6 linked regions of the Bombyx mori genome follow. The protein of the gene in region 1 purifies or fractionates together with the protein of each later gene. This does not show direct contact. Links are inferred from orthologs where the notes say so. Each region holds a gene or a part of one and is shown in the gene's direction. Other genes may lie near its edges.

What was found.
Region 2: the proteins of poly [ADP-ribose] polymerase (region 1) and DNA repair protein XRCC1 purify together in Homo sapiens (affinity purification with western blotting; 9 studies listed by BioGRID and IntAct, with this or other methods). This does not show direct contact. The link is inferred for Bombyx mori from reciprocal best matches to the Homo sapiens genes PARP1 and XRCC1.
Region 3: the proteins of poly [ADP-ribose] polymerase (region 1) and Dnmt1 purify together in Homo sapiens (affinity purification with western blotting; 4 studies listed by BioGRID and IntAct, with this or other methods). This does not show direct contact. The link is inferred for Bombyx mori from reciprocal best matches to the Homo sapiens genes PARP1 and DNMT1.
Region 4: the proteins of poly [ADP-ribose] polymerase (region 1) and Rpa2 purify together in Homo sapiens (affinity purification with mass spectrometry; 3 studies listed by BioGRID and IntAct, counting the BioPlex papers as one, with this or other methods). This does not show direct contact. The link is inferred for Bombyx mori from reciprocal best matches to the Homo sapiens genes PARP1 and RPA2.
Region 5: the proteins of poly [ADP-ribose] polymerase (region 1) and protein pangolin, isoforms A/H/I/S purify together in Homo sapiens (affinity purification with mass spectrometry; 3 studies listed by BioGRID and IntAct, with this or other methods). This does not show direct contact. The link is inferred for Bombyx mori from reciprocal best matches to the Homo sapiens genes PARP1 and TCF7L2.
Region 6: the proteins of poly [ADP-ribose] polymerase (region 1) and DNA topoisomerase I, mitochondrial purify together in Homo sapiens (affinity purification with mass spectrometry; 4 studies listed by BioGRID and IntAct, with this or other methods). This does not show direct contact. The link is inferred for Bombyx mori from reciprocal best matches to the Homo sapiens genes PARP1 and TOP1.

Annotation. Positions count from the first base shown.
Region 1 is NC_085128.1:12,949,852-12,954,757, forward strand, and holds part of poly [ADP-ribose] polymerase, read left to right. Parts: coding exon 1-92; intron 93-344; coding exon 345-450; intron 451-3,472; coding exon 3,473-3,656; intron 3,657-4,590; coding exon 4,591-4,813; intron 4,814-4,906. UniProt on the Homo sapiens protein: Poly-ADP-ribosyltransferase that mediates poly-ADP-ribosylation of proteins and plays a key role in DNA repair.
Region 2 is NC_085124.1:493,565-498,602, reverse strand, and holds the end of DNA repair protein XRCC1, read left to right. Parts: intron 1-10; coding exon 11-97; intron 98-456; coding exon 457-624; intron 625-1,076; coding exon 1,077-1,272; intron 1,273-1,632; coding exon 1,633-1,892; intron 1,893-2,255; coding exon 2,256-2,355; intron 2,356-2,417; coding exon 2,418-2,565; intron 2,566-2,641; coding exon 2,642-2,814; intron 2,815-3,085; coding exon 3,086-3,291; intron 3,292-3,405; coding exon 3,406-3,531; exon of another isoform or gene 3,532-3,537; intron 3,538-3,846; coding exon 3,847-3,984; 3' UTR 3,985-4,034; downstream 4,035-5,038. Other genes in the region: eukaryotic translation initiation factor 3 subunit F, read left to right, coding at 4,994-5,038. UniProt on the Homo sapiens protein: Scaffold protein involved in DNA single-strand break repair by mediating the assembly of DNA break repair protein complexes. Negatively regulates ADP-ribosyltransferase activity of PARP1 during base-excision repair in order to prevent excessive PARP1 activity.
Region 3 is NC_085114.1:6,734,753-6,739,658, reverse strand, and holds part of Dnmt1 (DNA cytosine-5 methyltransferase), read left to right. Parts: intron 1-1,260; coding exon 1,261-1,474; intron 1,475-1,570; coding exon 1,571-4,574; intron 4,575-4,906. UniProt on the Homo sapiens protein: Methylates CpG residues. Preferentially methylates hemimethylated DNA. Associates with DNA replication sites in S phase maintaining the methylation pattern in the newly synthesized strand, that is essential for epigenetic inheritance.
Region 4 is NC_085114.1:7,171,863-7,177,338, forward strand, and holds Rpa2 (replication protein A2), read left to right. Parts: upstream 1-2,109; 5' UTR 2,110-2,245; intron 2,246-2,880; 5' UTR 2,881-3,048; coding exon 3,049-3,058; intron 3,059-3,130; coding exon 3,131-3,201; intron 3,202-3,272; coding exon 3,273-3,494; intron 3,495-3,747; coding exon 3,748-3,933; intron 3,934-4,517; coding exon 4,518-4,723; intron 4,724-5,296; coding exon 5,297-5,381; 3' UTR 5,382-5,413; downstream 5,414-5,476. UniProt on the Homo sapiens protein: As part of the heterotrimeric replication protein A complex (RPA/RP-A), binds and stabilizes single-stranded DNA intermediates that form during DNA replication or upon DNA stress.
Region 5 is NC_085133.1:3,888,365-3,894,055, forward strand, and holds the start of protein pangolin, isoforms A/H/I/S, read left to right. Parts: upstream 1-1,936; 5' UTR 1,937-2,571; intron 2,572-5,691. UniProt on the Homo sapiens protein: Participates in the Wnt signaling pathway and modulates MYC expression by binding to its promoter in a sequence-specific manner. Acts as a repressor in the absence of CTNNB1, and as activator in its presence.
Region 6 is NC_085110.1:12,994,849-12,999,878, reverse strand, and holds the end of DNA topoisomerase I, mitochondrial, read left to right. Parts: intron 1-28; coding exon 29-203; intron 204-374; exon of another isoform or gene 375-621; coding exon of another isoform or gene 622-764; intron 765-844; coding exon 845-2,142; intron 2,143-2,274; coding exon 2,275-2,551; intron 2,552-2,996; coding exon 2,997-3,099; 3' UTR 3,100-3,936; downstream 3,937-5,030. Other genes in the region: ATPase WRNIP1, read right to left, coding at 3,963-4,069. UniProt on the Homo sapiens protein: Releases the supercoiling and torsional tension of DNA introduced during the DNA replication and transcription by transiently cleaving and rejoining one strand of the DNA duplex.

The DNA of each region.
Region 1 (4,906 bases):
AACATAGAAATGCTTTAATGAATACAAATAAAAATGATGTAGAAAAAATTTTGGAGTACAATTTACAGGGAATCCCAACAGGAAAGACTGAGGTGAGTCTATGCACTATACAATAGTTTTTTTGTGACTACCGTCACATGTAACAGGTGTCAATATAATTGACCTCAACAAAGTGCAATCAAAGTAGAAAGAACTCCGTTTTAGTGTCAAATGGTTTTTTTCTACATACATGTGTAACACAGAAATATTTTTAGGTATTTTATTATAATAATAATAATTAACATCTTTAGTTTTGTACCACTGTATAGGATTCGTATTATATTTATTCATTGTTTATTTTTCAGTGTTTTGATCGTTTAGCAGATTGTATGACATTCGGAGCTCTCGAGGCCTGTCCTGAATGTAAACAAGGGCAGTTAGTTTTAGATACCCTTGGCTATAAATGCACAGGTATCTTTGTTTTTTCTTTTTTTATCTCTATTTTCTTACCTACCTTGTGTTTAGTGTGTTACCTGAGTCCATATACATCCAACCTGAATGCAGTACCACAACTCTCATAAAATACCGGTTAAAATTTCGCATACACTTGAACACATATATGAGCATTTCTCAAAATTATTGCACAATAGACTTTAGCCTCTGTCCCATTTTTTTAATATTTTGTTCCGGCTAATATATTAGTTCATTACTACTTTTTATAAATTGTGTAAGCAGTATAACTACTCTACTTATTAGAAAGGAAAAATAACAGATATAAATACAATGAGATTTTTTCATTAAAAATATATATGTATCATAAATCAGCTTCAACCAGTTGTATGAAAAGTGCAGTGTCCTAATCTCAATATCTTACCAAACCATCGATCTTTAGTTGAATGGACATGGGCATTGTATAAATAAAAAATATTATTTATTTATAGCCATAAGTCACAATTCATCCTAAAACATCCTTTTTAGCATTACTTTAAGTATAATTAAATTTCTAATTAATGATTTTAACTTGTCCCGTAAAAAGTTCCACCTAGAAATTCCAGTTTTTGTTACCATAATGCTGAAGAAATATGAGAATCGATTAATGCAATTATATTTTAGAATAATGGTAGCATTAGCCGGCTTGGCATCCGTCTTGTTTTAATTTCGACTAGTTCTTTCTGGTGCCGGTACGAACGGTAAAAGTCAATATTTAAGCTAGCGGTCAGAACAAAATTCCACCTTTGTTACTCATAAAACATAGATAAGTGCAGATTTTATTGTTATTTCACTTAACCTACTATTAAAGCTCCCATTCTTGATTTCGTTAATCAAATCGAAATAAGAGTAATCGTGTGAGTTGCATGTGTTTACAAATAAAATGACATGTTGTTCTTGATTTGTTACTTCTTTTTTTGTTACTTTTGTGTGGTAACGTATAAATGGAAAAGAGAGTAACAAAATAGGAAATCATTAGGCTGAGTATATATAATATATTATTATTATTATTTAACTTTCTGTTTGCAAATAATAATTATTGCAATTACAACGGCGTCAATTTCTTTGTTTTTTTGTTGTACTATTACAGATTTGTACTATGAAATAGATTGGGAGTTTTTTGTTAGTATTTTTCTATCAGTTTGATTAGTTTATTTAAAAACAAATGCGGCTTTTAAATATCTGCTTGTTTTAATCTAAAAGTGCGATCATAGTAAAGAGAGAACTACTGCATGATATTCCTTCTGATGTGGTGGGCTAAATTTCAAAATATCTGTTGTTCTGGGTAACGTAAAAAAAGGGTTCTTTTACACTAACACTTTTTTTTTCCTACCTATGCTGATAGCCTTGAGAGGCTATTTCAGCTTCACCCTAACGTTTGTAGGTGAGCTCACGGGGCTCAACCGGAGAGTTGCTAACACTGACCCTAGCAAGAGCAGTGCTTCGCAGAACCTACCACCGGATCGGAAACGCGACCCACTGAGAAGATCCGGCGAGAAACTCAGTGGGCTGTGTCTATGGGGTTAATTCGCTCGTCGAGCCCTTCGTTCGCCAAGCGACGGGTTCGACTCTAACCTCTGCTGAAAAAATGAGGCGCTACCGCGAAAGCCTTAAAGAAAATCCACAAAAGATGGAGGAGCAGCGAATACGAAACATAGAAAGGATAAAATCTAAATATTTATATAAATCAGTAAGTGAGATGTCAGAAGACGAAAAAAATAAACAAAGACAAAAGTGGCGTGCCTGTGTTTACACCTTGGCCTATCATGGCCTTTTTCTTCGACACATTTTATCAAGGCACCGATATGTTATTCCAGATTCGTCTAACAATCCGCTGCATTTTGTATCAAGTATGAACGCTGTAGAAATAAACATATTATTACGTTGTCCATTTTTCTGGTGCCAAAGATGTGATTATAATTTATACGATCACTATCCAGCCGATGAATGTGATTATTGCTATTAAAGGTTTTTACTGAATTAGAAACCGTTAGGCCTCCGTTTCATTATGATTAAAAAATAACTGAAACGATATTTTTGTTACCTACTCGTAAATGTTCCTAAATATTTGAATGGGGTATTTTTTAAACGAAAAATGTTTAAATGTCCTTTGACAGCAGTTCATGCTATAATCTACATATGTAAATATAATTATAATTATTTTTAACACGGGTCAAAGTTTATTATAATTTGAACTACTTCGAAAACTAGCCTTATAAAATCCTAGTTTGTTACCAGTATTCCATTTTTGTTACTGTCCCATAAAAGCGGACACGTATTTCTTTTCAAATTTTTTATTTATTATCTTAAAACCTGCAATTTTTTTTAAAAAAGCAACAGAAGTGTATTGTTATTTCATTTGTGAACGTATTTAAAAATAAAACAACATCAAAACTTCTTTACTGTGATTTTAAAACAAAGTTGTGGGGAAATGGTAACGTAAAGGATATATTACAACTTATATAAGTAACATTTTGCTGTAAATGTTAACAGTTTTTTATAGACACGTAAAATGATGGTTATGTCACCCTATTGAAATGCATAAAAGTTGACGAAATTGATTTGGTGTTTTAATTAACGTAATTGATAGACGGTAACAAAATAAGAATATTTCTCCGCCCTTGGTATATTTGTACACATTTCTCTACTTTATTACATATTAAACCTCAGAACAAACCTCATATTCAAAATCTATAGACACCTATCTACAAATGAAAACAAAAAAAATGCTTTAGTTTAACATTTTTATTTTTGTACATTATTTTATTGGTGGTGCATTTATTTTGAGAAATGCTCATATAGGTATACCCTTTCGAATCATACTATGTAATGTAAATAAAATTTTGACGTTAGACAACTGTATACATAAACCCCTTAAAAATTAGATATACACACATTCTAATTCTGAAATAACTGTTATTCCAATATAATAATAATAAATAACAAGTTAAAATAAATAATAAATCAGGAGTAAACTTTTAGAGTAATCTGTCTTTTCAATCAGGTAATTTGAGCGAGTGGACCAAATGTACCTATCAAACTGATAAACCGAAGAGGAGGGCTCTGAAAATACCAGAAAAATACAAAGAGCTTGATTGTTTCCGCTCGTTTAAGCCCACGGTCCGCACTCGTTTGTTCCACGCTCCACTTCCATCACAAAACTTTGTTGTGAAACAAGAAGAGACAGAGTAAGAACTACCTTTTTTCTTTTTCTTTCAACTCACAGACACCCTCTGCTGAATATTGGTCTCCCCCTTTCAATTGTTTACAATTCACAACTCTCGCATTTATGTACCTAGTTGTTTTTTAAATTAATATTTTTTTACATAATAAAATCCTTATAAAAGATTGTTCATCCGTGCTTTATGTTCTTACCCGGGCTTTGAACGCATTATATCACTACATAGTATAAAACAAAGTCGCTTTCTCTGTCCCTATATCCCTATGTATGCTTAAATCTTTAAAATTACGCAACGGATTTTGATGCGGTTTTTTTTAAAAGAAAGATAGATTAACATCCATTAAATAGTGGAGAAATCAATTATAAATTACAGTTTCCGAAGCGTAGCGAGGACGGGTCGCTAGTTGTGTATTTAACATAACTGATCACACAAACTCGTTGCTAAAATCAAATTTATACCACGTTGCGTAATTTTTTTAATACGGTACCTACCTTCTAGTCGCGCCACTACTTGCCCGCCATCGATTAATTATTTATTCCTCTAAATTCCTTGATTTCCATAAATATATCAGTTATCTTCATGAATTACATTAATACATTACTACACTGCATATTAAATCCGTAATTGAAGCAGAAGCATCGTGACGTTAAAAGCAGGTTGAATATATAGTTATACTGTCAGCCAAAATAATGAACTAATTTAAATGAATTTGCGATTAATCTCCCGTTTGTATTCATTTCCTTTTACAACGTTTTGCTTACCGTTTTTATTTTCTTCGATACGAGCACTCGTCAAGCCTCGGAAAATACTGTCATTAAATTCAAAATTAGGTCACATTGACCAATTTCCACGCGTTCTTTTTCCTTTATAATATTAAAACATTTTAACAGGCCTCTCTAAGTATGCATCAGTGAAAGAAAAATTTATAACTTTTTTTCAGAGTAAAAAAAGAAATCCGTGTGCCGCCTTTGAAAAACTTGAAATTCTTCATTTACGGAACATTGAAGAAGAATGAAAAGGAGAATATCAAGAATCGCATTATCAAGCTCGGAGGAGACCCCGTCAGTAAACTGTCTGAAGCTACGGTCGCAGTCATCTCTACTAAAGCGGATGTCGAGAAAATGTCTTCTAAAATGCAATCCATACAATATCTAGATATTGTAGTAAGTACGAACATTTAAAGTGCTTTTATTGTGCTAACACAATGTATTGCAATAAGGCTAATTCTATATTGAAATCACATCTAAATTCACCCG
Region 2 (5,038 bases), on another chromosome or scaffold:
TAAAAATCAGATATCATCAGTCTATCTTGGTGTGCATCATGCTGCTACTGTGGAGGTGCTCGTTGGAAGATCTGAAAAACCTGATGAACCCTTTGAGGTATGTTTACTCAACTGTTAGGGAACTTTGCATTAGGGGTCTTGTAATTGATGAATATCTAGGATGCTTAGGAGGGAACAGTTTCAAATATGGAGGCTTCTAAAATAATAGTGTACTTTGGAATCACTAAAAAGGTTACATTCAAAAATGTAGCTTTACTCTGGTTATCATCATATCTGAAGATGTCAACAAATGTCTTCACCATGAATAACAGGGTCTATAATTTTATATAAGAATAAAAATAGGATTGAAAAACTCAAGGGATCATGTAGGGCATATCCCGGCACCCGGCTGCTTCTGCTGCCCGTCGCTTTCAAACATAGATATTGACAGTGGAGTGACCGGAGAGACATGCTCAGGTACTGGTCCCCAGCAGCGTGATGTTGTCGCCCAGCGAGTCCCGGCGCGCCGAGGGCGTGCAGCGCGTGCGGGCGTGGCGCGGCGACCAGCTGGCGGCCGCGGCCCGGGGGCGCCGCTGGGACCGCCTGCGGGTCGTGTGCGCGCAGCCCTACAACAGGCACTGCCAGGTACCATGCGCCCCGGTTGCCCTAATAACTATCTATCTAACTAATATTTTATAAGTAATATATAATAAGTATTAAACACTACTAAAACCCGCGGTCATGAGGATCGCTAATAGTAAAACATAATTAAATTTTTTAAACATCATTAAAATAACGTAGGGTAGGACGTCCTCCTGCTAGATAAAGTGACGACCTGCGCAAGGCAGCTGGCAGTAACTGGATGCGTAGAACCGAATATCGGGTTCAGTGGCGAGTTTTGGGGGAGGCCTATGTCCAGCAGTGGACTGCCGCAGGCTGATGAGGATGAATTAAAATTGTTACATTAGGATATAAAAATAGTTTTGCTGTGTCTTCGATTCGCGAGACCTGGCAGAGATGCTATTGATGATATTCATAAGAGTACATATTCATTTTTATAAAACTGTTCATGGCTTCAAACTAATATAACCTTTCAGTTCGGCCTCTCGTTCTTGCACATCGACGAGCCCGGGGACGGACCCCCGCCCGCGCCGCCGCGCCCCCTCGCCCTGGACACCTTCTCGTCGGACGAGGAAGAGTTCAAACCTGGGGAATTATTCGCTAAATACTACACCCAGAAGGATAGTCCGCTGAAACTGGGGGACGATAAAACTAGCAGCCCGGCGAGTACAGGTAAATAGGTTTTAAACTGAGCGGTGTTGTCAATAAGGTCGATAATTCAACAGCTGCCAATTCTGAACCACAATTTTCATGTTCTTGGATATAATGTTTATAAATGAATACCTAATATTAGTCAGTTAGGAAACGAAGTTCAAACACGGTTCAGTAGAACGGCTTGTCGCCCCGGGCTGCCCCGGCCGGCGCCGGCACCCGGGGGCCGCGGCACGTCGGTGTTTGCCCCGGGGTTGCTCTATAATTTTATTTATTTACAATATAAATTTTATTTAACTTAATATTATTTCCGTTTAAACTTTAGACGAGTGCTTAACTGCGGGTACGTCTCGCAGCTTTCATACAGAATACAATTTTCAGAATCCCAAATACACAAGGCGACGTCCCGCGCGCTCCGCAACGTTCCCGGGGACTCCCCCGCCGCCTCCCCCGGCCTCAGCGCGGCGGCCACACTCCGACAGAGCAAACAGAACAGGCCGGCCGGGCGGCGCCGCTCCGACAGCGACGGGGACGCTCGGATGCACGATGAAGAGGACACCAGACACCATGCAAAAATAGACCAAACCGTTAATAGACATAAGGGTGACAAGATGACCGATGACAATAGCGCGGGGGACCCGGTGAGCTAGATTTGTCCACCAGATGCAGGAGCGGCGGAAGCGGCGCGGAACGCCTGTCGCGTTGTTGCCGGGAATATATATTTGGTTGAAGGACGGGCCAACCCGCGGTGAACAACCCGTTGACTTCACAACGCGAATGTTGCCTGAGACGTGAGGTCGAAATGTCAATTGTATTGTATAATAGCCTTCTCGTTTATAAACTGGAATACGGATATAGGCAAGACGGCGGTACCCAGTGTCCGTAAGTCGCCTTTCGACGACCCGGCTCACGGCTTGCGGTGACGAACAGACAAATAAGGCTTATCCTATTATACTGTATTAGTCATCAGGGGTGATACTGATGTCCATATTGTGTGATCACAGAAAGAAGTCCAGAAAAATATAGACAATATATCATCGAGAGCAAAGCGGGTGAAGCGAGACGACAGCGCCGGGACCGCGCCCGCCCCCCGGGGACAGCTCGGTGAGTCGCCCGGGCCGCTACACTCCACACCTGACCGCTGGTGTCATTAGTATATGTTACAGTCGCGTGTGTCGCAGCGGACGTGCTGCGCGGCGTGCGCTTCGTGCTGAGCGGCTACCAGAACCCGCTCCGCCAAGAGTTGCGCCGCGAGGGGGTCGCGCTGGGGGCGCGCTGGGAGCCCGTCTGGGGGCCCGCCTGCACGCATCTCATGTACGTGCCCTCCGACCTCCCGACATGTTGTAATGTCCGTTGTGCCACGTGGAGTACAGCGTCGTGTCGCCGGCAGATGCGCGTTCCCCAACACGCCGAAGCTGCAGGAGGTGCGGCGCGTGGCGGGCGGCGCCGTGCCCGCCGTGCGCGCGGACTGGCTGCGAGCGTGCCGCCGCGCGCGCCGCCGCGTGCCCTGGCGCCCCTACGCCACGGAGCCGCACCAGCGCACCGCACCACCACACGCTGCAGGTTCACGCACCACGCCGACAGTTCGATTGCTCATTCATTAATAAGAACAGACGGACGCCGCTACCAATATTTTTAAACCACAATACAAAATTAATTATTATTATTATTTTTTATTTCCTTTGTAGGCAGACCAGCATACGGCCCACCTGATGGTGAGTGGTTACCGTCGCCCGTGGACTTCAGCAATGCCAGGGGCAGAGCCAAGCTGCTGCCTACAAATTAGGCAAAAATGTAATTAAAACGTAATTTTGACCAATTACTTGTCGTCCAGAAACTGACGAGTCAGCGGACACCGACGAGGAAGTGCGGGACCGCGGCCGGGCGCCGAGCCCCCCCGCCGGCGCGACAGGGTCGAGGGGGGGCAGCGGCGAGCCCGACGTGCAGTTCGTGTGCGACGAACGAGTCAAGGCGTCGCTCGCGGTCGAGTCGGACTCGGACGAGACCGACGCTGGGGCCGACAGCGGCGCCGAGCACGCGGCACGTACACTCTATTACTAACGGATTAGTTAGTAATAGAGCTCGTCCACACATCTAAGCAATAAAAAAAAAAAAAAAATTACTTTTTTTTTAAATATTAAGTATTGTTTCCAGATAGACGACAGCAAGTCGCTGCCGGCGTTCTTTGAGGGAGTAACGTTCGCGGTGGAGGCCGGGGACACACAACTGCGGGCGCGCTGCTGGCGCTACCTGCGGGCCTACGGGGGGCGCGTGCTGCAGGTCGCTCGTGCTGCAGGCACAACAATATGACATGCCCTTCTTCAAACGAGGCTTGTAGAGAGTACTTAACGATAGGCAGCGGCTTGGCTCTGCTCCTGGCATTGCTGAAGTCCATGGATGACGGGAACCACTCACCATCAGATGGGCCGTATACTCGTCTGCCTACAAGAGCAATAAATTTATATTCTTATATTTATATTTATATAAATTTATATTAATTCAAAATAGTTAAAAAATTTCATGATTGTCACATTTCCTCTATGATTGGATAAATATACATATTTTCCTAATTTTAAACAAATGTACATTTTTCAGAAGTCTCAGCTGGATGAGGACAGCCGCGTAGATTACGTGGTGTGCGACGACGGCGCCGCGCCGCGAATCAAGGGCCGCGCCGTCACTGCAGCCTGGCTGTGGAAATGTCATCAACAACGAAAACTGTGTCCAATATAACGACAGCTCAACTTGTGAATTCCTTTCATTAAATAACTGTCAGCTAACAACGCCTTTTCTTTCACAAATCTCAGTAAATGACCACCATTTTACTAAGATCCCATATCATCTCATTTCATTTAATTTCATTCTAGTTGATTAGGGTCAATTCCCACTGAAAGAGCAGCGGCCGGCAGCGTCTTTTTTAGGCAAAATATTACAAACTATTTTGAATCTTATCTACGTGATTAAAAAGTTCATAGTCATTTGAAGGCAAAGGAGGGGTAGCGTGACGTCGCGAGGCTGCACGAGCCTTCTACCGACTAGTCAAAAGAGGCGCCGCGCGGCTGATCGCGGCGCAGCTAGCTGACGTGCGGCCGACCGCGGTGCAGCTAACAGACTCGCGGCTGCGCGCGAGCGACCATTTCATACCCGCCCGCCCTGCCGCTTACGCATTTCGCGTCATTTTATTAGAGGGTATCAAGTTAGAACGTGCTACGCTCCGTGAGAAAAAAATGTACCCAAAATTTTCTTTTCCTTTTTCTTTCCGTTTTGTTTGTTACTTCTTGTTCTTCTTCTACAGCCAGTGCTATGATACATAAATCCAAATCCACCATATTTATTGCCACACAACTTTCCTTGAGTGAAGTAGATCGCACACTAGTTTTCAAAGCTACTACGCGGAGGTTCATTGCGGCGCCTCGGGATGCCGCGCTGCCTCTCGCGGCGCCGCACTGCCCCGCGCGGCGCCACACTGCCCCTTGCGGCGCCGCGCTCAATCACTTGCTCTTACGGCCGCTGCGCGCCGCTGCTCTTTCAGTGGGAATTGACCCTAATGTCTCAAATTAATCATCTTCATTTTATTTCATTTCACTCCATATTATCATTTTTCATAAAAATAAGACATGACTTAAAGGTCTTAATTACCAGTTCATAAAATCCCTAAAAAAATTAAAATTAGCAGAGATAATACCTACAATATTCTCTTGTACTCTGTGTTTCTGGGTTTGTAGTTTTGGTCGAATTAAAAATGGCTCTCAATATTAGTGTGAAGGTCCATCCTGTTGTTTTATTT
Region 3 (4,906 bases), on another chromosome or scaffold:
TTTTTTACTCCGCTATTTGAGTGTTCATCCTGATGTTAAGTGGTTACCAGTCAGTAACCTTCAGTTACTGTCCGGTGGGCCATGAGCTTGATAACCAGTCTAAGCAATAAAAAAGCCCTTAAATTTAAATTCTGAATATTGCACAATGTTACAAAAGTAATAAGATTGATCTCAAAGTTAAACTCTAAAGCTTGAAGCTCTGTTGTTTGTCTATTTGATCCTTTATATGATTCACCAAATATGCTAATAATAATTGTGCTTACTTTGACATATTTTGTAATTTATTATTATTGCCATTTAACTGGCTTAAAAGTTACCCATTATTATTAGTTTGGCCCAATTAACCTTTAGTGATATCTACATTTTTGTACCACTGCCTACCAGCAACTCCGATACAGCACAGTCAGACGTTTGTGAAGAAGAAGTCTTATTTTAAGTGAGAAGAATTACACATGCTTACACATGTTATTGATTTTACATGTACACACTTACTTCATGTAAATGAAAGATACATTTTAAATTTTGTAATTCACAATGATGTGATGTCTTTGGAAACATCGCCCTTGTGCATTCTGACTTTTCTTTGTTTATGATAAATTATTTAAAATATTGCATTGGGTGCAAAGAATTTGTAGGAACTTTTCTTCCAGCAAATCTTCATTATCACGTTCAATATTTCCCATTCATTGTTTCTTTGGTGGTATACTTTTAGAATTACTTGTATTGTATATATTGTCTTCCACAATATCTTTCATTACTTTAAAATCACAAAAATCATGCTAATAGCATTGGGCTCCACTGCAGAGTTACAGAACAAATGACAGTTATCTCTGTAGAGGAGCTACTAGGGAGAAAAATCTAGATATGCAGTAGCTGTCTAAATTTTAATTTTTTTATTGCTTAGATGCGTGGTCGAGCTCACAGCCCACCTGGTGTTAAGTGGTTACTGGAGCCCATAGACATCCACAACGTAAATGCGCCACCCACCTTGAGATATAAGTTCTAAGGTCTCAAGTATAGTTACGACGGCTGCCCCACCCTTCAAACCGAAACGCATTACTGCTTCACGGCAGAAATGGGCAGGGGGTGGTACCCACCCGCGCGGACTCACAAGAGGTCCTACCACCAGTAATTACGCAAATTATAATTTTGCGGGTTTCATTTTCATTACACGATGTTATTCCTTCACCGTGGAAGTCAATCGTGAACATTTGTTATATTATATTGTAATTTAATTATATTGTAATGTACTTATTCAAGGGGAAGATGGAGACATAATGGAACGACCCCAAACAAATATAACTGGCTTTACAATATTTGATGAGCAAGGACATTTGTGTCCAATTGATGGTGGTTTGGTAGAAAACGATGTTCGAATTTATATGTCTGGATATTTAAAGTCAATTTGCTCTGATTCATCAGAGATTGACGAAGAATCCATTCCAGTTAAAGATGTAGGTCCTATAATAGAATGGTATGTATCTCACTTATCATGACCACATAAAAAAAATCTTTTTGTTTGTTTGTTATTTTTTGTGAATTATTAATCTTCTAATTTACATACCATCAGGTTCATACATGGTTTCGATGGTGGAGATAGGAACTGTATAACTTTATCAACGGAATTTGGGGAATATAACTTGCTCAAACCTAGTGAAGCTTATACGCCCCTAATGAATAATTTATATGAAAAAATATGGCTTAGCAAAGTAGTCGTCGAATTCTTAGAAGAATATCACTACTTGCAACCGAGCTATGAAGATTTACTTGAAGTTGTAAGAGATTTTTCCATTCCTGAACTAAATAATAAAAAGATGACAGAAGAAATGCTACATAAACATGCCCAGTTTGTTTGTGATCAAGTAGTTAGCTTAGAAATAGAGGAAGATGATGAACCATTAATAACATTACCTTGTATGAGAGAACTTATCAAATTAATGGGCATAAAATTCGGTAAACGAAAAATACGTACCCAGATACAATACAAAAAAACAGATAAGAAAGCATGGACAAAAGCTACAACAACTCCACTTGTAAGAAAAACATTTGAAAGTTTTTTCTCAAATCAGTTAGACAAAACCAATCACGAACTGGTCTTACGAAGAAAACGATGCGGGGTTTGTGAAGCCTGTCAATTGCCTGATTGCGGCGAATGTAATGCATGTCGTGCCATGGCTAAATTCGGTGGTCATGGAAGAACTAAGAAAGCATGCGTCCGTAGATTATGTCCTAATATGGCAGTAGAACAGGCAGAAGATTCTGATCCCGATGATGAAGATGAGTATCAGCAAATATCTGAGAAAAAACAAGACAAAATAGATGATGCAGTACCAGTCAAGCTCACTGGGTCAAATAGTAAAAATTTAAAATGGATTGGTGAGCCTGTTAAAGCTGATGCCACAAAAATATATTACGAAAAAGTTGAAATTGATGGTGCTGAGCTGTGTAATGGTGACTTTGTCATGATTGAAACTTCCCAAACAAACATTCCTACACTGGTCGCTAAAGTTGTATACATGTGGAAAGAAATCCATAACCCGAAATCAGGCTATTTTCACGGAGAAGTCTTCATACGAGCCTCGGACACAGTTTTAGGAGAAGTGAGTGACCCAAGAGAAGTATTTTTGGGCGACAGATGTTGCCATGGTGCTCCGCTTTCTTCCATATTAAGAAAAGCGAATATAGAAAGGAAAGAGACGTCAGCAGATTGGTTTAAACTTGGCGGGAAAGAAGTAGACGACGAACATTTCGAGGATGATGGAAGAACTTATTTTTATAGCAAGTATTACGACAGGTTCACGTCGCGTTTTGAAGATTTACCTCCAGATCCAGCGTGTCCAAATGCTTTAAGAAAGCACAGATTCTGCCCATCTTGTGAACGTAAAACAAAACGAGATGCAAGAAACATTCCTAAAGTTTTTGAAAAATTGATTGTGAAATCCGAAATTGTTTCAGAACAAAACAGGTCGGAATGGTCATATGTAAAATGGCAAGACTTTGACTATAAGAAGGGTTGTGGTGTTTTCCTAAAACCGGGAACCTTTAAACTAAAAAATAGTATGACAAAAGCGAACACTGTTGCCAAACCGCGGTTTGAAAAAGTCGATGAAACTATTTATCCTGAATATTATAGGAAGAACGATTCTAATACGCGTGGGTCTAATATTGATACCGGGGAACCTTTTTGTGTGGGTTACATAGCTGCCGTCACTGCCGCGAGTGAGGGACCTCTAGTTGTACCGCAAGATATTTACCTGAAAGTGAATGTGCTGCTTAGACCTGAAAACACGAGCAGTAAATTTCCGCAGCACGAGGACACTAATGTTTTATATTGGACAACTGAAATAAGGGAGATTCCATTTTCGACCGTCGTTGGGCATTGTCATTTAATTTATGAACAAAATGTTCCCCAAAATATTTCACTTCAAGAATGGTTAGGAAATGATCCGTGCAGATTCTACTTCAGAATGGCGTATTGTAAGTCCACGGGAGAGTTCACGGATCTCCCGCAGAATGCCATCAGTGTTGGAAGAACAGATCGTACTAAAGATAAAGGGAAGGGGAAGGGAAAATCTACAAAAACTATTGAAACGGTTCCCGCTAAAGTTGTAGAGGAGAAAATTAGACCGTTGCGAACTTTAGACGTGTTTGCCGGTTGTGGGGGCCTATCAGAAGGCTTGCATCAAGCTGGAGTTGCAGAATGCAAGTGGGCTATTGAAAACGTGGAAGCTGCTTCTCATGCTTATTCATTAAATAATAAAAGTTGTATTGTATTTAATGAAGACTGTAATGCACTTTTGAAAACTGTAATGTCTGGTGCTAAGCACAGCGCGAATGGACTGCGGCTCCCCATGCAAGGAGAAGTGGAGCTTTTATGTGGCGGGCCACCATGTCAAGGCTTCTCCGGAATGAATCGTTTTAATTCAAGAGAGTATTCAAACTTCAAAAACTCATTAGTTGCATCGTATTTATCGTTTTGTGATTATTACAGACCTAAATATTTTATACTGGAAAACGTTCGTAACTTTGTGGCCTTTAAAAAAGGTATGGTTTTGAAACTCACTCTGCGAGCTTTGTTGGACATGGGATACCAGTGTACCTTTGGTATCTTACAAGCGGGTAACTACGGAGTTCCCCAAACTAGACGAAGGTTGATCATATTGGCGGCAGCGCCGGGTTACAATCTTCCGTTCTACCCAGAACCCACGCACGTCTTCAGTAGACGTGCTTGTACATTAACAACGACGATTGACGGCAAAAGGTTCTCGACTAATATTCACTGGGACGAGTCGGCTCCAAAAAGAACGTGCACCATTCAAGACGCCATGAGTGATTTGCCTCAAATATGTAATGGTGCTAATAAAATAGAAATCGAATATGGCTCCATGCCAGAAAGTCATTTCCAGAGATTAGTGCGAAGCAACGATGAGAATTCTAAACTACGAGATCACATCTGTAAAAACATGGCGCCATTGATTCAAGCTAGGATCAGCAGGATACCTACAACACCGGGCTCCGACTGGAGAGATCTACCCAACATATCGGTTACTCTCTCCGATGGCACTAAGTGCAAGGTATTTTTTTTTTATTGCATGTATGGGTGGACGATCTCACAGACCAACTGCTATTATGTGGTTACCGGAGCCCATAGACATCTACAACGTAAATGCCGACACCAACTTGAGATATGAGTTCTAAGGTCTCAGTCTAGTTATAACAGCTGCCCCACCCTTCAAACCGAAACGCATTACTGCTTCGCGGCAGAAATAGGCTGAGTGGTGGTATCTGCCTACACACAAGAGGTCCTACCCCCAGTAAAAATAGGTAATCAATGGACTAATTTATTTCTTGAATGCATTCAAAATAAGCAGCAGTCATTGTAATACAAGTTCATTTTATTGTGAAG
Region 4 (5,476 bases), on another chromosome or scaffold:
AGGCGAAAATATTTCATAAATAAAATATCTGTTGCAAAAAAGTCAGTAAGTGATGAAATGGAATTAAATGAGGTGATACAAAACAAAACCATAGGTGAATGAAATGAAAAAACGGTGGTAATTTACTGAGAATAGTGAAATCTTAGTGACACTTTTGGAAAAACCCGAAACGCACGTATAGCGATTTTGTTTTGTTTCGCCCTTTTATGATATTATGTGATTAATAAGCTGCTATGATTATACTTGTAAATCTGAGTAAACACTAAATTAACGGATAAAAGTAACTTGATATATTTTTGCAAAAGATCCTGTTTAGATGGGGACCGAACTCAAGGCCCAGTTGGAACCTGTAGATATCACAATAATGTGAATATCGCCACTTTAGCACTCGAGGTCTAAGTCTCAAATAGTTGTTAAATGACAGCTTCGCATGATTGCTTCGTGACAGGAATAGGCCTGAAAATGCAGTAAAATATAAAGAAAGTTTTATCTGACCGTTACAGAAACCAAAAAAGTACAGACCTTTACTGGTGGTAGGACCTCTTGTGAGTCCGCACGGGTAGGTACCACCACCCTGCCTATTTCAACCCTGAAGCAGTAATGCGTTTCGGTTTGAAGCGTGGGGCAGCCGTTATAACCATACTGAGACCTTAGAACTCTTAACTAAAGTTGGGTGGCGGCATTTACGTTATAAAAGTCTATAGGCTCCGGTAACCACTAAACACTAGGTGGGCTATGAGCTCGTCCACCCAAATACGCAATAAAAAAAATGTTAAAAAAAACTTTCAGGTGAGGCTTTTTTTCCTACCTAAGCTGATAGTCTTGAGAGGCTATTTCAGCATAACCCTAACAAGTAGGTGAGCTCACGGGGCTCAAACATAATGACGTTGCTAACACTAACCCTGGCAAGAGCAGTGCGCAAGCAGCGGATTCGACGGAGAACGATGACCGGCAGGTGAGCCCTAAGTTTATTTGCCACTCAATAAATCTTAATCATAATTTGGTATTTTTCAATGTTCATCTTAGAGAGTCTTAAATGAATTATAGTGCCACCTATTTAAATTATAATAATAATGGTAATGGCTGGGTAATGTCTAAATATCTTGTTTTAATCCATATTTTTATGATTCTCATTTTATCATCTGCAGAACTCATTAACAAAGCCAAACAAAGCCTTTGGCCTTAATAGAAAGTAAGTAAGGTCAGTGGATATTATTCTTAGGGACATTAGTTAAAATAGTGGTGTATCTTATCTAAGATATGCCGATGATACAACAATCCTTGCAGCCAGCGAGTCCGAGATGGCTGCGATCTTGGAGCGAATAGAGAGAGTTAGCCTTGAATTTGGCCTGCACATAAACCGCTCTAAGACCAAAGCGATGACGGTGGACAGAGCTCAAGTTTTAAGTCCATCAAATGCGCTCAAGGATTATGAGAAAGTGGAGGAATTTATATACTTGGGGTCGCTGATCTCTAACAGTGGTAACTGCGAGAAAGAAATCGGACGCCGTATCGGGATGGCTAAAAGTGCCATGACTAGCCTCAATAAAATCTGGAAAGACCGTAATATTCGCCGAGTAACTAAGATGCGTTTGGTTCGTACGTTGGTCTTCTCTATCTTCCTGTATGGGGTGGAGACTTGGTGTCTCAGGAAAAAGGAACGCAAAAAGATCGAGGCCTTTGAAATGTATTGCTGGAGAAAGCTGCTACGCATTCCTTGGACAGCTATGAGAACCAATGTCTCCATCCTCGAAGAGCTGAAGGTCACCAAGCGCCTGCTGACTATGTGCCAGGAATGGATCCGGAGTTTTTTTGGGCACATAATGCGATCCTCATTGCACAGCCTGGAGAAACTCATAATTCTCGGACAAATAGAGGGAAAGCGCGCTAGAGGAAGAGCGCCAGCTAGATGGGTGGACCAACTCAAGGAGGTGACTGGAGGCCAGATACAGGGAGCGGCACATATGGCGCCTTTACACTCTCAGACAATATCACTTGTACTTGTAATGTTACTTGTAATTGAATATGTTAGATAGTGAATTAAAGAATATTTAATATTTATTATATTCTCGGCTAGATTCCCTTCGCCTATCCACTAAACAAATTCAAAAAAATCTATAAAATGGCGGGAATTAATTGAGACTTCTGTCTGGCCAAACTCCAAAGGGACATTTTGGTTAAAACTGTTAAAAGTTACTGAAACAAAATAAATCATCATCTTTTGGAAGATAAAATATGTGAACCTATAGTCGGATTTTTTATTAGACGAAGTCAACTGACGTTTACTGTGTTGTCAGTTTTTGATGAAATAAAAATAGTGTTGTGACAAAGTGAACGATTGAAAAAACTCCTGAATTAATGAAATTGCCTCGATTGTCTAGTGAACAGTTGGTGTGCCGAATTGCCGATATCGGGTACGGGGTTCGAATTTTAGGCGTGCTTTGTACATACCAACGAGTTTTCGACGAAATATTATGTTCCTATAATATCTACCTGTACTGAATACCGAGTGTTTTAAACATTAAGAAAAACATTGCGAGGAAGTACTTGTAAGACTGTCCTATTTCCAATACATCATATAGTTGAAATTATAGATGTATAAAATATAACAATTATAGGTAAGTAATGAAAATAAAAAAGCTGATTGTAGTTACATACTACTAGCAACATATATTGGAGCACTTTAATACAATTTTATTGTAAAATATAAATAGTACTCTTTTATAGTTTGAAATTAATGATTAACTCTTCACACTCATTGTTCATTCGTGATTGAACGAGAACTGAACGCATCACTATTACTTTAAATATAGCAACATTATTTCACAAAGTGACATTAGCTACTGTCAGCTAGCTTCGTCTAATTAAAAATCCGACTATAGTGGCTTACTCGCTTGAAAAAAGTTTACAGGAATAAGAATCAAAACTAAAAAAATTAAACCATACTACCTTTTCTATTAAGATCGGTTCGGAATTGTTTAGTGCATTGTACTACTGCTGTTACTAGAATAGTCTTCAACTAACAATTTTGACCTCTACTTTAAAACAATGTGGAATGGTTTGTTGTTTTATCATTTACATGGTTATCTTTATAGTTTTTTCTGTATTAATTAGAATTTGTTACATTCAGATGATCCTTCTGGAGGTGGCTTCCTTAACACCACAAATCAATTTGGAAATACGGCAACACCCAAAAAAACTGTAAGTTTACAAAAAAATAAAATTCAATTGATTACGAAAATTTAATATATTAATAATACATTTATTCACAGGGTCGTAGAGCGGCACGGACAGCACCTATAGTCATCAGGCAAGCTTTGCATTCTGGAGAAGAAGGTGTGAAAATATGGGGTACAGAAATTCAAATAGTGTCAATAGTTGCAAGAATCAGGAGCATTAGAATGCAAAGCACTAAAATAACATATACAATCCAAGATATAACAGGGAGGATGAGGGCTGTACTCTGGCTCGACCAAGAGGCTATGGAAGTTGAAGTAAGTGAAAGTTACTTCCAGTTTCAGAGTAATGTCAATGTAAACGAAATCATTAATTAAAATGAGTTAATCCATTAATCATGTCCACAATCATGGTAATAAAAAAAATAAAAAAATCTCAAAGTCAGATTAAGTTATTAAACTTATTCTGTGCTTTTTGAATATTTAAGTATATGCCATTTTGATTCTTTAGATATTGAGTATTTTACATAAAAAAAAACAGATATTAAATCTTTCTGAGCTTCAATTTCAGGATACCTCATCACCTAAAGTTCAAGTAAATGATTACATACAAATTTACGGCAATGTGAAAACGAATAAAGGGACAAAAGTGCTCATGGCATTTAAGATAATGCCAGTTACTGATGTCAACATTATTACATTTCACTACTTTCAGTGCATTCATAATAAAATACAAATGGAAGCTGGCTCAAAGAAGGTAATTCTAATATACCTGGTAATCTTAAAATTTATTATTCGCATTTCCATTCACCATAGCTAAAGGCAGAAGTAACTACTTATAACACAATATTTTGAGGGGTTAAAGACTATTTGGTTTAAGCAACATTTAGCTTAATACACATGAATTTTGTATTTGAAATATTTAGTTCTTGTATGTAACAAAAAGAGTTGATAATAATTGTCAGATATTTTTATTACAGTACAGTACATAAAAATATGTCATAGTATAGTATTATTTGTTATTGATTCTTCAGCAATGTAAATGATGTCTTCTTCATCAGCAATGACTTACCATTTCAATTTTCATATAAAATGAATTTCAGCACATCCAACATGCTTCTCCTTTTTTTCAGTTTTATTTTAAAATAATAATCTACTATTTTCAAACTTGAACCCTTTATTCTGATAAAGACAGAACTACAAATTTAGTTATCATTCAGCTCTTGCTAGTGCATTTGAGTTGCATCATTGCTGTGGATTATTATGTCCCATCATGAATGGTGCTTCCGCCTACATGTTTTTTGCTATACATTACTTCATAAATTGGATTTTATTTTGCAGGAAAAAAATATTCAAGATGTCCCAATTAACAACATGCTGCCTGCAAATTCAATGGTTGGAATTACTGAAACCTCTTCAGTGAATGGCTTAAATTCTCGTCAGATGATGGTCTTCAACCTTATCCGTGGCTCTACTGTTGAACAAGGAATTAGTAAACAAGATATGTATGCCTCACTGAAAGATCGAATGACAAAAGTTGAATTTGAGTATGTATTTTTTAATCAACATACTAAATTTTAATTCAAACATTTTTACCCCAATAAATTATAACTGATAACTGATAGTAAATGATAACTTAAAAATAGAGTTGAAAGGAAAAAAATAAAGCAGTTAGATTTTAAATAAATCATCACAATCAGCCCCTTTTCTTAGGAGTTTAGTGACAAACACACATACAAAAAGATTAAATCTATCTTCTATCTATCTATATATAAATTATTTGCTGTTCGTTAGTCTCGCTAAAACTCAAGAACGGCTGGTCCGATTTGTCTAATTTTGGTCTTGAATTATTTGTGGAAGTCCAGAGAAGGCTTAAAAGGTAGATAAATATGAAAATCCTCAAAATTAAATAAAAATAACAATTTTGTTTTTACTTTGATGTGTCCCTTGTCGGACGAATTCCTTTTTTTTGTTTTAAGTTTCTTTTATACAAAAGTTTAGGTCTTTTATTTATCGATTGAGGCACTACAAAGTCTGCTGGGTCAGCTAGTATAATATAAAAATTTAAAATTAAGTATAGAAAAATTAAAGGGTTTTAATTTTTTTATGATTACTTGCAGAAACATTTTGGAATGGATGTGTGGAGAAGGTCATATCTACTCAACAATTGATGAAGAGCATTTTAGAGCAACTGATGCATTTTAAAAGTTATATATTTCATTTTTTAAAACTTTTATGTAATAAATATTTTGTACCAATTTTTTGTTATTGCTCTAGTTGAGCTAATTTTAAACCTGGTT
Region 5 (5,691 bases), on another chromosome or scaffold:
AATTACTTCATTGAAGAAAAGTTCAACATGAATAAATATGTTTACATATAATTTATAACACAATAATAGACCATAAACTTAGAAGTCGGTCATGAACAAAAACAGTCGGTTTGTTAAAATGATATCGTCATTTCCTTTTTACACGTGCCACAGAGTACATCCCTACTACTTGAAGTCAATGCATTCATTCGCCATGTATTTCTAGATGTAATTTCTACAATACCACCCGATTTTGTAAAAATTTTTAAGGGATTTTATGACCTGGTAACTGAGACCTTTAAGTCATGTCTTATTTTAATTTATATTCATATTTTTATGAAAAATGATATTATGGAGTGAAATGAAATGAAGATGATGAATTTGAGACATTAATCAACTGGGATGAAATTAAATGAAATGAAATGAGATGATATGGGATGAAATATAATCTCAGTAAAATGGTGGTAATTTACTAAGATTTTTTCAGTGGACTTTTTAGAGGATCCCGAGAAGTTACGTCCAGCGGCTTTATTTCATTTTCCCACATTTGTGCACTTTCACAGATATTAAACAGTTAATAAACCACCATTATTACACATTTAAACCTGAAGAAACACTAAATAGACAAAATAAAACAAATCACACAACTTCACTCTTCGCGTTCCCGCCAAAAAGTCCCCGATTTTGTAATAAGTTACGGTGTGGTTATTAAACATAATTTACTCCTCTGACATTGTTTATTAAGCAAAACGTTTCGAAGAAAAACTTTCTGTCCTGCCTAAATCTCACTATCCTACCTGTCTCGAGTAGTTATGTTTGCGGCATTAATTGTTTTGTTGAAATTTTTGCCGCGACGCAAAGGATGAAGTTGAGTTAACAGAAAACTTCAATTGTGTCAGCTCTGGTGAAATTGAAAACTTATGACGGAACGTTGTGTTATGAACTTCGGTGACCTTGAAGGATGACTGTCCAAGACTATTTCATCTCAGTCATCCACGCAAGAAGAAAAAAGTTGGATTAAATACTAAAGCCACCAAGTCTATGCAATGCTGTCATAAAATTAGTACCTACAAACTCAAAGTCACATAACCGCTATAAACATGATTGTACTACAATATCCGATAGGTGTAAATTACACGAATGTTTCATTCATAGTTTTATTCATTCACAAAACGTGTGTAACACCCGCGAAAAGTATCGGCGGTGTTGCCAAAATTACAAACTGAATCACGCAAAACAAACTTTGTTAACGTTTAGCGACCATTATAATTTTATAACGCCTCTGGGGTCGATCTCGGCCAAGGATCGAAAGAAAAAAAAATCCTTCCGCAAAGAATTTAGGAGTGTCCGAGACTCAGACCAAATCGGACTCGTTATAAATTTTGTGAAGATAACAATGCGTGCGTGTGGGTGTGTGGTACAGCGCTGACGAGTATAGTTACGGCACGCAATAACGCTAACAAGCGTGCGAGCGAGAAACATTTACATTTGTAGGGCGGCATCTCTATCTTGCCGTCGGCAACATGGCGCGCTGACTCGGGCGCAGGCTCGAATCGTATCGCCTGCCCACTCAAGGTTCGCTGACTGCCGTTCTTTTGTTTTTAATGTTGCCATAAAAAAGACAGGTTCCCAATTCTTGTGTGAATAAAAAACTTACCTTTTTTTTCATTAAGTAATATTTCAGCTCAAGAATATTGAGAAAATACAACGACATCGTAGTATGTTTCAGTATTTTAGAAAGAATGAAACAATCAAATGATAATTATATATAAGTTTCTCTTGAAATCCAAGAACCATTACTAGATTTCAAATATTTTAAGCACTCTCGCTTTTTATTAATAATAAATTTATGAGTAACGTTTTGCTTCACCTGTACTTCCGATCTTCGACATTTCATAAATTTTATTATGTGGTATTAACTTAGGTACTAAACGTTTTAAACGCTTTCTAATTTTTTTTTCTTTTTATTGATGCACAAAACAAATTACAACCATAGAAATAATAATTTTAAATGTTTTAAATGGCCTGAAGAATTGGTTAATATTACTTACCTACTTATTTCGTGACAATAACAATTAGTTTAAATTATAAACTACAATTATGTATTGAGCTCGATTATATTTAATTAATTATAGGAATGAAGCCTGTATTTACAGAACGGTGAGGAGAAGCGGTTCGGATTCCGGGAACCCTGGACCGCAGACGAAAACAGCGTCAAGCCGAGGACCTGCTCAAACCGAACGTCTGCATACCGATCGTTGGTTTTTTGTAAGCTTGAGTCGGTGCACACCGAGCTGTATCTGTGCGAGTGAGACGAGCCGAGTTGTGTGCGTGTCGGGCGCCTCGCCGCTCTCGCGTGCAGTGTACCCGCGACTCCCGGCCGGCCGCGGCCCGTTCGCGCTTCTCCGTCAAACTGACGCCGATAAACAAAATAATGACCAGTGTACCACATTACGTGCATCGCGAGTGCAATAAGCGACGACAGTGTGTGATAACGAGAATGTAACGTGCGTGTTGTGTCAAACGGATAGTGAAATATTTCAAATATTGGAGTTTTAGGCGCGTGGAGTGCGCCATGCTCGCAGTGTTTAGGTATGTGGAGACCGATTAATTATGGCCCATCAGTGTCGAAGGGGTCGGTGGCCTGCATTTTCGCTACCGGCTCTCGTTATTTTTGTAATCGGTGACAGATTTCGCGTGAGTCTAAGACCGCGGCGTGTGGCCGCTGGCGTGCTATTTACACGTTATGTTTTCGTTTACACGGTCGACCGTGAAATATTTTCTGTCCGCATCCGTTTGATTTTTTCGTATTTTACGTGCATCGGACTCAGTCCGCCGTCCGTTATCAGTTTCGTCGAAGTGTGTCGTGTAATTTACGAAGTAATTAATCTGTTATCGCCGCCGGTGTAGCGATGTGAGCGCGTGAGCATTGAACTTTGCATCTACTCGCGTTAGTTCTGTGGTCAAGTTTGAAAAATACCATGTTGCTGCTAACTATAGCAGTCAGTCTACGACTAAATCGTTATTTGTGACTTTTAATTCAATGTCGTAAACATATACTTAGATCTTAAAATCAAATTGTATGTAGATAACATAATAATACGAAATAAAAATGAAAAGTACTTACCTAATTAACATTCGTAACGCGAAAACTAGATTCCTATCTCGCATACAATATTGTTGATAAAACACATTATCATCTAGTAAACTCCCTTGTATTCTTTTATTATAAAAGTAAACAAATCAATTTCATAACAAAGACACATAGGTATACCCAGTGGTCACATATTATACGGTAAAAAATAAATAAATAAAAACATTTCCGTTAGATACCTATATTTTATACTCTATGGTCAGTTCGATTATAATTTTAGTCTTTACATACTTTTTCAGTTAAATACCTAATACACTTTTTAAATTATACTTATGTTCATAATACTATTGACTAAAGTAAGTACACCAAAACAAATAACAAAATACATATTTTTATTATTTTTTACCATTGGGTAACACTAAATAATCTATGGCACATCTTTTGCGTATATACCTGGATTTAATTTAGTATTACAATTATTATATATAACTACGAAACATACACTTCTTAGATACGTAATTATACTTCTTAGATACGTAATTATACTTACTTACTGAGAAAATTAACTCTTGCAATGAGTTTTTTCACGTAATGATTCATTGGCTACATTAACCACATTATTATGTTCATAGTTATATAAATAATTGGCCGTGATTATTGCGTTGATCTTAGGTATTGAAATTAACGTAAACAGACCGGAAAATAGTGTGAAAAATTACAAATAGTCGAGTTTTTATCGTGCTTAAACTCGACAAATGTTCACGATTGACTTCCACGGTGAAGGAATAACATCGTGTAATAAAAATCAAACCCGCAAAATTATAATTTGCGTAATTACTGGTGGTAGGACCTCTTGAGTCCGCGCGGATAGGTACCACCACCCTGCCTATTTCTGCCGTGAAGCAGTAATGCGTTTCGGTTTGAAGGGTGGGGCGGCCGTTGTAACTGTACTGAGAACCTTATATCTCAAGGTGGGTGGCGCATTTACGTTGTAGATGTCTATGGGCTCCAGTAACCACTCAACACCAGGTGGGCTGTGAGCTCGTCCACACATAGGCAATAAAAAAAATTTATTTAACAATACCGATGATTCGGTTCAACTAGCTACACTTATTCGAATAATCTTCATTTGAAAATTACAACATTTTAAACTAACGTTTTTTTTTTATTTATAAATAACGTGTTTGGAAATGCAAGTACGGATCTGAAAATGGCGGTTCGAAATGGCGCCATAGGCTTTTAAATACAGTGCAATATATTTCTACGTACTTTTTCCCGTCGGGAAGAGAACAGCGAGATTTCCGCGCTATTGAAATGTGTGTATGTTTTATTATTACAGAAGCTTAAACTTAACAATTTTGTTCGTAATATGTTCTCTGTTAGTATAGTATGTGTAAAAAAAATGGGAAAATATGTCAGATTTTCACCAAAAAAAAACCAAACTGTTACAATTCCGAAACAGGTAGAAAACATTCAACTAAAAACTTTATTGTTACAATTTTAATTAATTGAAAAAGTGCTTTTGGAATATTCTTATTAATACAGATAGAATATCAACATATTAAAGTCGGAAATTAACCTCATTTTAAACTACATACTTTAGTATGACAAATGGTCTAAATATTATTTTTGTCGTCGATAGACGTGCGTACGGCCCTCCCGATGGTACTATTTCAGTTGTGTTTTTTAATTTTTTCTGCCAATCGACAAAAAAATGTGCAAGTACAGAAAATAGTTACTTAAAGAGAAGAGCGTATTTTTTTAATTATGTGCATTTAAAATGTGCATAATCAAATACAAATTTTAGAAGTAATGGTGGAAGTTCATCTGTTAATTTCAATAAACTTTTCAATTAAATATATTTCGTAAAAAAATGCAAAATTATTGAATTGAATAAATAGCCTTTGATTTAACTAAACTACATTTGCAATCGAAAAAAACCTAAAAAAGGCATATTTGTAATACCTACTCGTATAAAAACGTCACGCGTCATTCCCGGTGCATCACCAAAAACATATTTCTACCAAAATAAAATGAATAAAAACCTTTTTGATCTGCGCACTATTTACCATAAAAACTCAAACGCTGACAAATATAGCGTGCTAGCAAAGCAATGTTTTGTTTAGCCAATATAGTCAACGGGTCTACCTGATGTTAATATCACATATGACCAGTTCTTGTTCTATTAATCTCTGAATATACAAAATATACATAAGAAAGTGCAGAAAATACAGAAGTAAAATGCAGAAAATGTTTACTTTTGATAGATTACTTAATTCATGACAAGCTGTCTTATGATTGAAGTGTAATAAATAATTCTTGAATTTCTTAATTCGGCAAAAGTTTCTAGTTTCACCAACATTGGGTCAAGGGCTGTGCTATCCTTCAAAACTGGAAATAAAAATTGGTTTGCGCCTCTAATAGACAGGTATATTGCCCGTGCGAGCTCTACCAATACCTAATATCAGAACTGAAGGCTTAGGAATTTGGGAGTTTGATAAGTAGCGCGTAGAACACGGGATAGCTTAACCTTACTCGTATTTTCTAATCAATAGTCGTATAGATTATTATCATTATAATATTGCTGCACATTGAGGTTGGTAAGAGAATGTTAACTA
Region 6 (5,030 bases), on another chromosome or scaffold:
TTTTTGAACCTTTTGGAAATGTTTACAGAAGAGACTTATGAAGATTATGATGATTATGAAGAAGATGAAAAACCTAAAAAGAAAAAGAAGAGTTCTGAAAAAACTAAATCAGTTAAGGTGAAATCTGAGCCCATAGATGATGGTATCAGTCCCAATAAACGGAAGAAAAAACAAGACACAGAAACAGAACAAGTCTGGAAATGGTAATTAAAGGCTATTTTTTGCTCATTAAAATATTGTAAACGATTATTTATAGTCTGACATTGCCAAATTATCCAATGTTTTGTCTACTTTTAAAACCAATAATATCACAAGGCAAACTTTAATTTGTTGTGACTTCAGATTGCTCAGTAGAACTTTTTTAACATTAAATATTTAATCTTAAACTCTGTGAAGTAACTGCTTTAGTGACACTTCATATCTAATTTCTACCAATAGATGGCGTGACATATCCAACCTAATTCAAGCATTGTCAGAAATAATTTGTCACATAACATCTTGATAGCATTTGACGTTGATAGAGGCTACCCCTCAAACATTTTAAATAATTCGAAACATAAGTGATCAAATTAAGCTGGATAAAATTCGTCAAATCATTTTTAGTTCGATATGTAATTGTGAATGTTCTTTTTTGAGGTTATATTGGTTTTATGGATTATGTTTAAAGTTGTGAGTGTTATTGTGTGGAATAACAGTCCATTTTTACGTAAAGTATCATTAAGTTCTGTTTTTACCAGACACAAGCGACGATTTCCAAGAAGCAAGTTGGTTTTAAATGACTTTCCATTAACAGTCAGTTTTTTATATTTTTAGCGTGCACTTTATATTTTAATGTTTAATACAGGTGGGAAGAAGAGAAGACCGATGATGGAACAAAATGGACATTTTTGGAACATAAAGGCCCTGTGTTTGCTCCACCTTATGAACCTTTGCCTTCCAATGTCAAATTTTATTATGATGGTAAAGAGTTGAAACTATCTGAAGATGCTGAAGAAGTAGCAGGATTTTATGCACGCATGTTGGAACATGATTATACCACCAAGTCTGTTTTCAACACCAATTTTTTAACTGACTGGCGGAAAGTGATGACTCCGGAAGAAGCTAAACTTATTAAAGATTTGTCCAAATGTAACTTCAAAGAGATGCATGCATACTTTCAGAGTGTATCTGAAAAAAATAGAAATCGATCTAAAGAAGAAAAGGCTGCTTTAAAAGCCAAAAATGAAGAAATACAAAAAGAATATGGATTTTGCACAATAGATGGTCATAAAGAGAAGATAGGGAACTTCCGAATAGAACCCCCAGGGTTGTTTAGAGGTCGAGGTGAGCACCCAAAAATGGGGAAATTAAAGAGACGTGTTATGCCTGAAGATGTCTTAATCAATTGCTCAAAAGATAGTAAAATACCAAAACCACCTTCAGGACATAAATGGAGAGAAGTAAGACATGATAATACAGTTACATGGTTAGCCTCTTGGACAGAGAATGTTCAGCAGCAAGCTAAGTATGTCATGTTAAATCCCAGTTCAAAATTGAAGGGTGAAAAAGATTGGCAGAAATATGAGACTGCTAGAAAACTTCATAAGTGTATAGACAAAATTAGAGAAAATTACCGTGCTGATTGGAAGGCAAAGGAGATGCAGGTGCGCCAAAGAGCAGTGGCACTATACTTCATTGATCGATTAGCACTTAGAGCAGGTAATGAAAAAGATGATGAACAAGCTGACACTGTTGGTTGCTGTTCATTAAGAGTAGAACATATCCAGTTACACAAAGAAAAGGACGGTAAAGAATATGTAGTAGTGTTTGATTTCCTTGGTAAAGATTCAATAAGATATTACAATGAAGTGCCAGTAGAGAAACGTGTATTTAAGAATCTCGAAATATTTATTGAGAATAAAAAGGACAGTGATGATCTCTTCGACAGACTTAACACACAAACTTTAAATGAACATTTAAAAGACTTGATGCCAGGTTTGACTGCCAAGGTATTCCGTACATACAATGCTTCTATTACCCTACAGAAACAATTAGATGAGCTCACTGATGGTGATGCCTCTGTGCCTGAGAAGATTTTAGCTTACAATAGAGCAAACCGTGCAGTTGCCATCTTGTGCAACCATCAACGTGCTGTACCTAAGGGTAAGTGTAACTTTTGTTTAAATGATTTGTTTCTTATGTAAAATAAATTGGATATGACATCCCCAATTAAACTGATTCCATTTCTTATAACTATTTAAAAACTGTTAAAGTGATTCACATATTTTATTTAAGGACATTCTAAGTCCATGGAGGCTTTAAAAGAAAAAATTCAAGCTAAACGGGATCAAATTGATGAGGCTGAAGAAGACCTTCAACAAGCATCTAAAGCAGCAAAGCGAGGTTCTGTTAAAGAAAAATTAGCATGTGATAAGAAGAAAAAGGCACTTGAACGTCTCAAAGACCAACTTAAAAAACTGGAACTGCAGGAAACAGACAGAGATGAAAATAAAACCATTGCCCTTGGAACATCGAAACTGAATTATTTGGATCCACGGATTTCAGTAGCATGGTAAGAAAAATGAACAAAATAACATTTTTTGCGCCTATAATGACAGCATCCAACACAATAATTTCGAAATGTTGCATGCTATTAAAATTAAATGAAGGGTTCAGCTCTCAAGCAGGTGGCAGGTTCTCACCTGTGGAATATCTGGAAAGACTACGCTGGTTCTCGCTACTAGGTGACCATCTGCCTTTTCTGCTTTTGCTTTCATTCCTGCCACCCTTAAATGTATCTGACAACCATGGCGTGCCAAGGTAATTTGATATTCTGCAACTAAATTGCATTCAAGTAGGACATGAGCTGCTGTCTCACCTAACCCCATGAAGGCTGCACAGAGTGATGCCAATAACTAATAGATGTTTGTTACAAAGACTGATCTATCAGCAAAATACCATGGGTACAGATAAGCTATAATCCAGTTATATAATAAAATTAACTATCTAATTTACAGGTGCAAGAAACATGGTGTTCCAATTGAGAAAATATATAACAAAACGCAAAGGGATAAGTTCCGATGGGCAATAGACATGGCCGGGCCAGACTATGTCTTCTAGTTTCAATTTTAGAATAATTAGCAGCTCTATTTTTATATGTTGAATATAACGTCCCAATTATACAAAATGATGTATAAAATCAGTTTTATGAACTTACATTTTACAAAGTTTACTATGTGATGATGTATTTAAGGTTCAAGTAAAGTTTATGTATTAAAAAATCCGAACATTGTTCCTTCTTTTTTAAATTAGAAGTCTGATTCTAATTATTTTATTTAGTTTGGACTTAGTTCTCGATCCCTTTTTAGGTTATTTAGACTAATATGATAGTTCAAGGAATTCTAGTTTTAAGATTTTGTGTAAGACTTGCAACTTGGTCAAAAATTTGTTCTCATTTACAAAATAACATTTAGCTAGCCATAATGATAGTATTATCTGAAAATAATTCTTATAATTAAATTACAAGTTGCTAGTCACTTTTATAAAGAATGACAAAATGTTGTGAATAAGTCATTGTGATGTGTAAATACACATTGTAAATATTAGTGAGGCTCATAGTTCACTAAAGTTCAAATGCATAAATAATAATGTTGAATGTGCTTGTGAAAATACTATTCGGTATTGTGAATAGTGAAGAAAACTTAACTAAGGCTAATTTAAAAGAATATTGTATCGAAAAGCAAATGATGTTAGAAAACACTGCAGTGGTGAATCATGTAAAATAAAATAAAATGTAATGGTTACTTTATTTTTATAAAACAAAAAGCAATAGCTATATAAGATTATGAAAGGTACAATTCTGTAGTGTGTTATATGTTCATCTTGTAAATATAAAATTTTTACCATGTCATAAAATTGTGAAATGAGATTATCCTAAATAAAAAGTGACATTAGGAACGATGTCTTTATTTATTTTCAATATGTTAATCGCCTTCGTATTCCTTCTGAAAATAATCACCTTCAACTCCTGCTGGCAAATAGGTAAGTCCAGATTCTTCCTTACTCAGGAGATTGTATCCACTTCCATACCCTGAAACAGTCATAATATAGGTACTCTAGCGCTGTATTGAGTGCAGATTGGCTTTCATATCAAATATTGATGATTTATAATAATAAGGGTTAATGTATGAAGTTGCCGTTTTATTGTAATAGGAAATTACTTCGAATTGATATAGAACCTTCATGGTTTGAGAGTTAGTGAAACTTTTTTTCAAAAAGTACCTATGAGGTTCTTCTTTTTAAAAATGTCCAGCATTCGATCATCAGCTTTTAGAAGATTTTTTTATTCAGTTTAGACAAGAAAGATGGATACTTCGAAAATTCGTGTGATTGTTGAATACAAGTTCCGACGCGGAACTAACGCTGCAGAAACAGATCGCAATATCAATGTTGCGTTTGGAGAGGGGACTGCTAATGAACGCACCCTGCGATTTTGGTTTAAACGCTTTCGTGATGGAAATTTTGATGTGAAGAACGAACCACGTGGAAGTCTGCCCACACATGTGAATTACAATGAATTGAAAGAGTTGGTGAAAGCGAATCCGAGCCAAACCGATCTGATCAAGCAATAACGGCCGATGTCTACTGTGCCGAACTCCGAACAATTATAGCAAAACTTGCAGTGAAACAGCCCTCATGAATCGATCTTCACCATTATTGCTCCATGATAATGCGAGACGTCATATAGCACGAGAACCCGAAATTAAATAAAGTAATAAACAATATATGTCCGGCATATTTCACACAAATCTACAAAGTCATGTATGCTAAATCGAAGTACGAAATAAATGTTTTCTCTATGAATAGGTATTATTTCATTAATTTATGTTGACGAAAGAGAGTTAGCGGCCAGGGTGATCACAGTTGCTTAATATCAAGAAATTCATTTGTATTTATATACTTTGTAATTCGAGGACAACATTGAACTGCCTTAAAACATAAGCCTATCTGACCAAGACAATACAGATACAGCAAACTGAGGATTTTTAAAT